Linked DNA regions of Canis lupus familiaris. The protein of the gene in region 2 purifies or fractionates together with the protein of the main gene of each other region. This does not show direct contact. Links are inferred from orthologs where the notes say so. Each region holds a gene or a part of one and is shown on either strand. Other genes may lie near its edges.

What was found. The genes of interacting proteins can lie anywhere in the genome.
Region 1: the proteins of RTN4 (region 2) and ATL3 purify together in Homo sapiens (affinity purification with mass spectrometry; 4 studies listed by BioGRID and IntAct, counting the BioPlex papers as one, with this or other methods). This does not show direct contact. The link is inferred for Canis lupus familiaris from reciprocal best matches to the Homo sapiens genes RTN4 and ATL3.
Region 3: the proteins of RTN4 (region 2) and CYB5R3 purify together in Homo sapiens (affinity purification with mass spectrometry; 3 studies listed by BioGRID and IntAct, counting the BioPlex papers as one, with this or other methods). This does not show direct contact. The link is inferred for Canis lupus familiaris from reciprocal best matches to the Homo sapiens genes RTN4 and CYB5R3.

Annotation. Positions count from the first base shown.
Region 1 is NC_049239.1:53,863,863-53,867,508, reverse strand, and holds part of ATL3 (atlastin-3), read right to left. Parts: intron 3,534-3,646; coding exon 3,406-3,533; intron 2,790-3,405; coding exon 2,733-2,789; intron 1,256-2,732; coding exon 1,184-1,255; intron 807-1,183; coding exon 375-806; intron 1-374. UniProt on the Homo sapiens protein: Atlastin-3 (ATL3) is a membrane-anchored GTPase that mediates the GTP-dependent fusion of endoplasmic reticulum (ER) membranes, maintaining the continuous ER network. It facilitates the formation of three-way junctions where ER tubules intersect.
Region 2 is NC_049231.1:57,225,271-57,229,386, reverse strand, and holds the start of RTN4 (reticulon-4), read left to right. Parts: upstream 1-1,241; 5' UTR 1,242-1,501; coding exon 1,502-2,069; intron 2,070-4,116. UniProt on the Homo sapiens protein: Required to induce the formation and stabilization of endoplasmic reticulum (ER) tubules. They regulate membrane morphogenesis in the ER by promoting tubular ER production.
Region 3 is NC_049231.1:23,783,927-23,787,572, forward strand, and holds part of CYB5R3 (NADH-cytochrome b5 reductase 3), read left to right. Parts: intron 1-2,923; coding exon 2,924-3,055; intron 3,056-3,646. UniProt on the Homo sapiens protein: Catalyzes the reduction of two molecules of cytochrome b5 using NADH as the electron donor.

The DNA.
Region 1 (3,646 bases), on a different chromosome or scaffold from region 2:
TGATTTTAAGTGAAAGAGATGCCATCCATTAGCAGAACTCAAAACAGAAAAATCTCAAAGCTCCTGAATCATACAGGAATTGTATCTGAAGAGCATGTGGTTAGAAGTTTCCCATGAGTAACACAGTATATCTAAGTTGGAACTTTTCACATTAGAGGGAAGTTTTTAGGCATGGAAACATAATATTAGGAATAAATATCAATATCCTAAAGGAGGAGGATACAACGTAATGCCTATCAAAAAACAAAAAATGACCAGGGGAAACTTCTTATGCCTTCTTTCACCATGAAACTCTTGCAAATGGAAATATTCTACAATAAAAACACAGATATCTGTCCTATCAACCTGTAGCCTTGTCATCTGACACCACTTACCTGCTCTAGTACATACGCTGCACCAGAATCAATTGCTCCACCCAGCTCACGATATTGACCAGAATACCTGATGTATCCCCAAGTAAGAAGTGCTATTAACAGCAGTCCAACCATACAATTGAACAGCTGGGCCACAATCTCAAGACCAACAAAGCCAGTGAGGCCTGAGGCTATGTACAAGATCACAATGCCTGTAAAAAGCACTGCAGGGGTTCGGAAGGTGCTGAAGACATTCTTGCTGCCATTGTGCTTGCAGAAGTTCTCATAGAGCTCCTTGATCTCCTCCTCTAGTTCCTGCTGGTAACGAAGGCTAAAATCCTTCCCACCCATCTTCTTGGTCTTCTTAAAATGGTCCAGAGCAAGCTGTTTGAATTCACCGTGCTTCTCCTCTAGAATGTCTGGGGACAAATAAGGTTTCTCTCCCCCACAAACCTAAAAAGAATAAAGACATAACATACTGAAGATCTCTTTGAAAACAAGTGCCCAATAAAACAAGTGAAAACACTGAAAAAGTCCAAATATTTAAGATATTAGAAATTAACTTTAAAATGATGACCAAGACCAATAAAGTCTGAGTTTACTTCCTCTGAAAAGTGCACCGAAATAAGGAGGGTGGCATTAACTGCATTGGAAGAAAGCCTTACTTAGCAACGGAAAGAACCAGAAGACCCCAATTACCAGGGGGGGCTGAACACAGTTTTGTTGTCTCGTCATCTTCAGATTCATTAAACAAGGTCAGTCTGGGCTTCTGCCGTAAGCCACAGGCCCACATTATAGCTACATCAGAATAAAACACACGCCTGGCATACCTCTTCCATGTTGTTGTAATAAATGTCTTTGGCGGAGGCTGCAGCTGCTAAATTGTTAGCTTCAGCGGTGGCCTTATAATAAGAAAAGAAAGCATAAACTCTGAATCCCTTCTCTTTAACATTCTTCCACAAATAACCAAGTGCCAATTCCCTCTCACCCTACTCCCATTCTTCCTTTTTTAGGATCCTTCTGCCATTTTTTAGGTTTCCATATAGCCCAATGTATGAGATAAAATATTCCTTTTTCGCCAAATTTTCTGCCCAAAAAAAAAAAAAAAAGTTCTGATACATAAGTCTTTATTATAAATTAAATCTCTGGAAGTATCATTCCCTTTGCTTTAATTTTAAGTGTTGAAAAAAAAATAATTTTAAGTGTTAAGAAATAGACATGGGTCAAAAAAAAGAGAAAACATTTTATATGCATTTTAAACTCTAGCTTCCTTTGTGAAAATGCTTTGCTACTAAAGAAATAAATATCTGGCAGTAAACGGCTTTATGTTTTGCACATAAAAGTCAGAAATTGGGCAGCCTGGATGACTCAGCGGTTTAGCGCCGCCTTCAGCCCAGAGCATGATCCTGGAGACCCATGATCAAATCCCATGTCAAGTTCCCTGTGTGGAACCTGCTTCTCCCTCTGCCTATGTCTCTGCCCCGCACCCCCCTCTGTGTATCTCATGAATAAATAAATACAATCTTTAAAAAAAAAAAGAAAGTCAGAAATTATGTTTTATCAAAATGACATCTTGAAAATAGCAAAATGTTGAAAATAAAAGTCATTGAAAATAAAAAACCTGACCAGTAAGTAGTAAATAAGTATGTCAGGACATGTTCTACTAAAGTAGACAGCAGATAACAGGGAAATAATTTGCTTAAGATAACTGGGCCTGGGGAAGCCCGGGTGGCTCAGCAGTTTAGCGCCATCTTCAGCCCAGGGTGTGATCCTGGAGACCCTGGATCAAGTCCCATGTCAGGCTCCCTACATGGAGCCTACTTCTCCCTCTGCTTGTGCCTGTCTCTCATGAATAAATAAACAAAAATTAAAAAAAAAAAATATATATATATATATAACTGGGCCTGTTCTATCCACAGTATGTTTGGTGGGATATAGTCCCAGTGAGGAGCCCTTCTGCTTTAACTCTGTATTTAACACCCAGAAGGCAGTAACAATGGTGAAAAATGTACTAAAAATTAACACACTTCAGCATTAACAGGCAGGGAGAGCAACAGCATTCTCCTTTTTTTTTTCTTTTTTAAAGATTAATCTATTTTTTTTTTGAGAGAGAGAGAGAGAGCGTGTGCATGAGTGGGGGGAGGGGCAGAGGAAGAGGGAGAGGGAGAATTCTCAAGTAGACCACCCCGCTGAGTGCAGAGCCCTACTAGGGGATCAATCTCAGGACCATGAGATCATGACCTAAGCCAAAATCAAGGGTCAGATGCCTGACTGAGCCACTCAGGTACCCTGCATTCCCTTCTTAAAGGATGCTGCTGCTTGTGCATGGGTCAGCAAGTAATCAAACAGTATCATTTAGGATGTCAAAGAATTGCTTACCTGAAGCATGGATTTGGGATGAGGCAGATCTTCTCCTTGATAAATTTTAATATATGCCTTATAATAGAAACAAAAACACTCATGAAAAATGTGATTCTGTCACATTTAATCATACTTTAAGTTACAGAAAGTAATATACAACTGCATTTTCCTAAAGACCTAGATCAACACCCAGGAATTAGCAAAAACACAACACACCTTTGAGTGCATGTTAGCATTTTTAGTTAACTAAATATGTTCTCAAGCAGCACGAGACTACCAAGGCTAGGAGTCCCACCAGATTCCCCATGCACACTGGCCTCACCACTACCTGTGGGCACAGTGACCATCCGCCTTGAGGTAGTCGTGTCACATCTAGGTGCCGTCTCCTCCTACTCACAGCAACTTCCTAACCACCTCCTGTCCACACCATCTTCCTTGAGGAACAATCTTCCTTTAGCCACAGTAATTACTCCTCTAAGAAAGTGCAAAGAACATCCATTTGGTTCTTAGACCGATACTGCCACCCAGTGGCCCACTCCTGGAAGGACACTGAAGGCTCTGAAAATGCCTCTCAATATCTCCCCCATGAAAATCATCCCTAAGCTTTAAAATAGTAAAATTCAAGTTAGTTTACAACCTAGATCAGTTTTACCAAAAGTCAAATATTCTGACAATTAAAATCCATATTTACCTTAAAATACTCTAGTAGCCCCCGACAGGTGACTTTGGAGCCATTGATCTCCTTCTCCATTAAGTTAGCTGGGTTTAATACAAATGGTATCAGGGTTTGAAGCTGCTCTTTGAATTCACTGGCAATATCTGTTCACAAGACCATGAAGAAGAAAACAGTCAGCTAGACAGACTTGTTCAACCAAGCGGAGTATAAAATGTTTCAACATCTGCCAGTTCAAAGTGAGGGGAGGGAAGGTCCC
Region 2 (4,116 bases):
TTACAGCATATCTCATTTCAGTCCAGTCACACTTAAAAGGCTCAATAGCCACAAGTGGCCTGATGACTAATATATTGGACAGTGAGGTCCTAGACTGTGAGCTATCTGAAAGCAAGTTATCTCTGTCTCCAGGGCCTCCAGAATAGGAATGCAGTGAATATTTTTGTAAGGTATACCAGAAACATAAAAGGGGTTCTCTAAACTTTTGCATGCTGATACTTTTATGTTTTTTCGACCACTTTCCTTTAAACTTCCTTTTCAGTCTTGGAAAAAGTGGAACGGGGGAGATTATGCTCTTTCCAGCCTATCAAACAAATGAATACCGGGCTTCCTGACTCCCAGAAGGCCTGAATCATCTTAAATGTTGACTCATGAGCCTAAGGTGACTGAAATGTAATGTGAATCAAATTTGCCTTCCAAGGCATCATTATGTTTCCACTTTCCTCCTCTTTCTCTCTCTCTCTTTGGGTGACTCATCCTTCTACCACGTACGAGTCCAGCAGCAGGCAGATCCCCAAACCCTCCTGGATGAGCAGACTTTGAAATGGGCCCAGTCCTCCAGACGGTCCAAGCCCTGCTCTGTTTTGCCTACCTCATCCAGAGTCTGCAGTTTGGACAGAGAACGACCTTAAAGCTCTCCAAAAAAAATGAAAATAAAAAAAAAAAATAAATTTTTTTTCTTTTTAAGGTGGTGAAAGTAGTAGTAACGAGGTGGTCCAGTCATTTAAGCTTTAAAAAAATAATCTTTTAATTTCAAAATCTTTTAATATTTAGCGTACACTCAAATCCTTAGGGCCTACACTTCATAGTACCTTTCAACCACTCTGGGTTTTTTCCTTTCCTGGGAGGAAAGTTACCACCCCCAATCCCCCAGGATAACGCCCTTCCGGGGGCGCGGGCCAGGAACCCGCAAGTCCTGCGGCAGGTCGCCCGCCCCCGCGCAAGCCCACGCGGCACCCGAGCCGCCCGCTGCCCTCGGGCTCTGGGCAAAGCCGCGACCCCCGCCCACCCCGCATCTGACCCAAGGTGCAGGGTGGGGCTCTCAGCTCCAAGCCCCGCCCACCGGACTCACCCCAGCCGGTAGGAGAGGGGAAGTCCAAATGGCCCCACCCACTTTTCTCTTTCCGTCTCTCCATTGGGCCGGATGGTTGCCCGTCATCTCTATCCCGTAGGCGATTGGCTCCCTCCCTCCCGCGCCAGTCCCTGCCTCTCCCCGCGCGGGGAGGGTAAGTCACGCCAAACGGGGCGGAGAATCGGCTGGCCTCTCTCCTTCGCTCGCCTGGGCGGTGGCGGCAACTGGGGACGGGGCGGGTGGCGCATCACGGGCGCAGAGGCAGGAGGAGCAGTCTCATTGTTCCGGGAGCCGTCGCCACTGCAGGTCTCCGGGCTCTCTCGGCCCGGCCCCTGTCAGTCCTCCCCAACCCCCACAACCGCCCGCGGCCCCGGGGAGCAGCGTCCCGTGGAGACGAGCCGCTGCAGCAGCATCTCCGACCCGCCGGCCATGGAAGACATGGACCAGTCGCCTCTGGTCTCCTCGTCCTCGGACAGCCCGCCCCGGCCTCAGCCCCCGTTCAAGTACCAGTTCGTGAGGGACCCCGAGGACGAGGAGGAAGACGAGGAGGAGGAAGACGAGGAGGACGAGGACGAGGACTTGGAGGAGCTGGAGGTGCTGGAGAGGAAGCCCGCCGCCGGGCTGTCCGCGGCCCCGGTGCCCCCCGCCGCCGCCGCCGTCCCCGGCGCGCCCCTGCTGGACTTCGGCAGTGACTTCGTGCCCCCCGCGCCCCGCGGGCCGCTGCCGACCGCGCCCCCCGCCGCCCCGGAGCGGCCGCCGTCTTGGGACCCGAGCCCCACGTCGCCCGCGGGGCCCGCGCCCTCCCTGCCCTCCGCTGCCGCAGCCTCGCCCTCCAAGCTCCCCGAGGACGATGAGCCTCCGGCCCGGCCTCCCCCTCCTCCCCCGGCCGGCGTGAGCCCCCAGGCCGAGCCCGCGTGGACGCCCCCGGCCCCGGCCCCCGCCGCGCCCCCCTCCACGCCGGCCGCGCCCAAGCGCAGAGGCTCCTCAGGCTCAGTGGGTGAGTGCCGCGCCCTCCGCCCCGCGCAGCCCCGCGCTCCCCTCCGTCTTTTGTGTGCACCCCCCGCTGCCTCGGGCGGAGCCCCCTTCCCCGCCCCGAGGGGCTTTGTCCGTGGACCTCCGGGCGAAGGCGCCCCCCCTGGCAGGAGCCGTCAGGAGCAGGGTGGGGCGGCCGCGGAAACCCGGGCTTGTTCTTTATTGTCTGTCTCGGAGTCGGGGAGCACGTGCACCCCGCCTGCTCCCGGCCTCCTCCCTCTGGTCCCTATCCTGCTGCGTCCCGGAAGTTAGGCACCCGCCCGTACCGGGAGCTCGGTTGGCCTCGAGGAGCTAGCGTTGTGGATACGGGGGGCTGGCCGGGCTCCCGGGTGAGGATGGAAAGGCCTTGGCGCCCGTAATCTTTTGTCTGCCAGTCTGGGTTGCTCCCAGGGAAAAGGCGCAGTTCTGCGGCTGGTCCGTCTGGCAGCCGTGAGCCCTGCGCTGCACCCCCACCCCCGCTCACCTTCTCCCTGGCCTGGGTGTCACCCCCCACCCCCACCCCCCCGCAGCGCCTCATTCCCCTCCCTCTCCACTCGCGCTGGCGGGGAGCTGGCCCAGTGGAAAACATGCACCCTGACCCAGCCGCCGCGACGGGAGAGCGCCTCCAGTGGTGTGGCGCGTGCGGATTTGGGAAGGCGAGAGTTCTGGCAAAGTCCTGCCACCGCCCAGTCTCCTCGGGCTGTGATGTGGCGACTCCCCAGCTAAACCGCGCCGGGGAAGTGGGATCTGAGCATCCGCGGTCCGAGGAGGCGCAGTTCTCCCACCGGGTCCTGGCTGCTGAGCCAGAGGATTTGCTGCCAGGGTGGTTTGGGCTCTTGAATCGGAGAGGAAAAGAGGCAAAATGGTTGACATTCTTAGGGAAGGGAAACCTGTGGGGTTTGTTTGTTTGTTTTCCTTTTTTCTTTTTTTTTTTTTTCTTTTTTTTCTTTTTGGCCGCGAATAGGCCAATTGACTTTGTGGCGGATTAGCCAGCCAGGAGACTTAATGTTTTGAGAAAGATTATTTTTTTTTCACGTAGCGGTTAGAGATACTCTTTCTTAGTAGTTACATGTTTTAGGTCAAATCTGCAATAGTAGTCTGTAAACAGTTTCCAAATTTTTTTTTTTTTATTCGCTTTAGTACTTGCATGTATGTATATATTTAAAGGAACATTGTTTCCTTACCCTTTTCCTTTTTGGGAAGTTGTTTATTTTGGAAGAGAATAAAATCAAATTTGTTAGAGATGGAGAATCTTACAAGTTATGAGTTTATTAGCTTAAGTCTTGTTATTTTGGGGGGCAGAAAGTGTCCTACCAGCAAGCAGTAGGACCTCTTTTTATGTATAAAAGAGCAAGAATCTGGTAGTGTGACTGCCTGCTGAGAGATCTTTATAGCTTTCCTTGTAGGATTTTACAAATGGTTCATTTTCCAGGAGAAAATGAAATTTTTTTCAGTTCATTCCTCCACAATGGGGAAGTAAGCCAATTGTGATGTTTCTGAATAACGTTTTGATAATGACATACCCCAAAGCGTTACTCAAAACACTTTACACAAGTAACTCAAAACACGTTACACAAAATCATTACACTAAAGATATTAGAAGATGAAGAGCAACTCAGTGTTTCATTTTCTGAATTAAGTGTGTAAGAGAAACTAAGGTGAGGTAGAAAAATAAAAAGTGATAAATCTGCAAATGGAAAATCTAATGATTAACAAAGGAATACTGATTTGTCTCATCTTGTATTCCAGCATGGGGACAAAGAGGAATTCTGATCTTTGAACATTAGGGATTCAGGAGGTGACATTCTCTTGGAATTTTGACTTGTGGAATACTAAGTTTGGAAGACAAAGGAGAGAATATTGCTTACTCAGGGACTCTTATCTCTATAAAGTTCCCTAATTCTGTATTGATGATAGCTATTTGGAAACCTAAGTGCTTTAGTAAATCACTGAACATCCATGATTATAGTCATGGATAGTTAAGCCATCTCTGTGAGTCTCGGGTTCTTAGCAGTTTGTTCATTCATTCAATT
Region 3 (3,646 bases), about 33 Mb from region 2:
AGTTGCAATCACGTATGAAGAACTCTTGTATACTTTTTACCCAGATGGACCCGGTGTTAACATTCACTATATTTGCTTTATGGTGTGTGTGTGTGTGTGTGTGTGTATCTTTTAACTATTTGAGAATAAGTTACAGCTACGATGCCCCTTTGCCCTTAAATACTTTAGTGTGTATCTCCTAAGAACAAGGACATTCTGTTGCCTAATTACAGAGCAGTGATCAAATCAAGAAAGTAACATTGAGGGGCGCCTGGGTGGCTCAGCGATTGAGCGTCTGCCTTTGGCTCAGGGCGTGATCCCGGAGTCCTGGGATCAAGTCCCACATCAGGCTTCCTGCGTAGAGTCTGCTTCTCTCTCTACCTATGTGTCTGCCTCTCTCTCTGTGTCTCTCATGAATAAATAAATAAAATAAAATAAAAAAGAAAGTAACATTGATGCAATGTTCTTATCTAATCCATGGGCCTTAATTCAGATTTCACCAGTTGTCTCACTGTTGCCTTTTATAGGGGCACCTGGCTGGCTCAGTCGGTTGAGCATCCAACTCTCGATTTTGGCTCAGGTCACGGTCTCGGGGTCGTGAGACTGAGCCCCCAAGGGTCAGGCTCCTTGCTCAGCAGGGAATCTGCTGGAGATTATCTCCCTCTCCTTCTGCCCCTTGCCTGGTGCCCTCTTTCTCTGTCTCTCAAATATTAAATAAATCTTAAAAATATATATATATTGCCCTTTCTAACTATTTTATTTCTGGCCCAGGATTTAATCCAGAGCCACACATCACATTCCGGTGCTGTCTCTTTGGCCTCTCTATTGGTTTCCCAGGACTATAAAAGTCACCACAAACAAGCATAAAACAGCAGACATTATTCTCTCACAGTTCTGGAGGCCAGAAGTCTGAAATTAATGTGTTGGCAGGGCCATGCTCTCTGAAGTCTCGGGGAGGGTCCTTCTTGCCTCTTCCTGCTTCTGGTGGCTGTCAACAATTTTTAGCTTCCTTGGCTTGTGGCCACTCACTCCAGTCTTTGTCTCTGTCTTCATGTAGCCTCTGAGTCTTCTTTCTCTTATAGGACATTTGTCATGGGGCTTAGGGCCTGCCAGGATAATTCCAGGTGATCTCCTCTGAAGATTCTTGGTTTGGTTGCATCTTTATAAAGACCCTTTTTCCAAGCAAGGTCACATTCCCAGGATCTGGGTGGATATATCTTTTGGGAGCCACCACTCAACCAACCACAGCTTCCTTTAATCTGGACCAGTTCTCTGATCTTACTTTGTTTCTTGTGCCATTGACATTTTTGAGGAGTCTTGGCCAGTTATCCTGGAGAATGGGCCTCCCTGTTTCCTCAAGGTTAGAAGCAGATGAAAAGATCCTATTTCACAGATGGAGAAACAGCTCAGAGAGGCTAAGTGATTTGCCAAAGGACAAACACAGCTAGAAAGGACAAGTGACCAGTTGTCTTCCTTTGCAAGGGTGTTCTCTTCCAATATCCTGAGCAGTGAGCTATCTGGCCATGGGAGTCGGGTTTTCTGTTTTTTAAAAATCTAAACTGGAGCCTGGATGGCACAGTTGGTTGAGAATCCAACTCTTGGTTTCAGCTCAGATCAAGATCTTGGGGTTGTGGGATCGAGCCTGCGTGGGGCTCCATGCTCAGCACAGAGTCTCCTTGGAATTTTCTCTCCTCCCACTCCGCCCCTCCACCCCATACTCCCGTTCTCTCTCACTCTCTAGAATGAATAAATAATCTTTGGGGGAAAAAAAAGTCTACTTAAAAAAAATTAAAAATAAAACTCTAAGCCACCTCTTAGGGTCTTTGTGAGGTTGAGATGTGGGGGGCAGGGGGCTGACAAGGAGGAGCCTCTCAAGGTCACACAGCAGGGTGAGTGTGGGCCAGATGTTTAAGAGTGTTATTGGGGAAGCAAGTAGACTCAGGTTCAAACTGCAGCTCTCAGGACACCTGGGTGGCTCATCCGGATAAGCATCTGCCTTCAGCTCAGGTCATGATCCCAAGGTCCTGGGATCGAGTCCTGAGTCGGGCTGCTTGCTCAGTGGAAAGTCTACTTCTCTGCCCCTCCCCTGGCTCGTGCTCTCTCGCTCACTCATTCTCTCTCAAATAAATAAATAAAATCTTAAAAAAAAAAAATTGCAGCTCCCCACCTGCCAGCTGTGTGACTGTGGGCAAGTTGCTGAAGCTTTCTGAGCTGTTGCTCATCTGTAAAGTGGTGATGACAACCCTCTGAAGGTTTCATGAGATTAGCCCCTGCGTGGGGCTCATCATGGTGCTGAGTGGCAGACTCTCCGAGTTTCAGGGGACCTTGCAGATCACATGGTCTAGATCAGTTCAGAGAGGGAAGGGACTTACCCAGGATCACACAGCCAACAAGGAACAGAGCTCCCCACTGCCCAGTTCACTGCCTCAACTGTCCCTCGCTTCTGAAGGCAGAACTCCAGGGCTCAGGAGTTTGTCTAAATCGAGCTGGCACTTGACATCACTTAACAGGACCAGGGAAATTGACTAAAAGGGGGGAAGGAGAGAGGGAGCACAGATACACAGTGCTCAAGACTAAGCACAATTACTTGTGAACTTCACTCTGAGCTTCCCGGCAGCCAAAGTGAAAAGGGTTACATGCTCAGTTAGTTATGTAGCTTTCTTTGTCCTGGTTCCTCTGGGAAATAGAGCTTTTCCAGTGACTTAGGAATACAGTGATAGGTTTCATGTGCCTGATTTTTGTGACTTCTCCCAGCCGGCACCGAAATGGATGCTGGGGTTGGTTCCCTGGATGAAGATGGTGAGGAGAGGGTGCTCCTGGCAGAGGGGATAGCGTGACCAGGGGCCTGGAGGTGTGAACCGACTGGTGTGTTCGCCGGAAAGGCAGGTGGCAGGCTGCTCCCCGTGCCGACACTGACCTCATGGGTCTGTCCCTGTCATTTCAGTTGGGCCACGTGGTCCTCTCCCCAGTCTGGTTCCTCTATAACCTGCTCATGAAGCTGTTCCAGCGCTCGACCCCGGCCATCACCCTTGAGAGCCCGGACATCAAGTACCCACTGCGGCTCATCGACAAGGAGGTGAGTGCCGGACACCGTGGGGCCTGCAGGGTCTGGGCCCATGGGGGTTCCTCCCCCTCCCTCCCTGGCTGCATCACAGTATTTCCTGTCACCTACTGTGTGCTCAAGGCATGGGCCCCCCTCTGATGTAGGTCGTGTTGTCTGTCTACCTTACAGATGGGGAAATTGAAGCGATGTCCCTTTCTAAGGTTCCCAGTAAGCGGCCACAGGGTCTCGAGCCCAGATCTCTGACCACAGAGCCTGTTCTCCAAACCACGCTCTATCCCACAGAAGGCCAGAACAAGAGAGATCCCTCAGGACTTTTGGGTTGAAACACCCATTTAACAGATGGGAAAACAGAGGGCAAGAGAGTACCAGGGGAGCATTGGACATCACACTGTGGGTTAGGGGTGGAACCAAGACTCAGACCTACCCCCACCTTGATCCCGGGTGTTTCCCATCCCAGCACCTTTTCTTCAAGCTAGTGACTCGTCCCCACCGCCACAGTCATCTACTCAGAGCCAGGTGTTTGTTGGACCCAGGTATCTTCCACATCTCTCCTGCCGCCCTTCTGGAAGGCCTATTCCTGCCCTCCCAATCGGATCCTTTTCC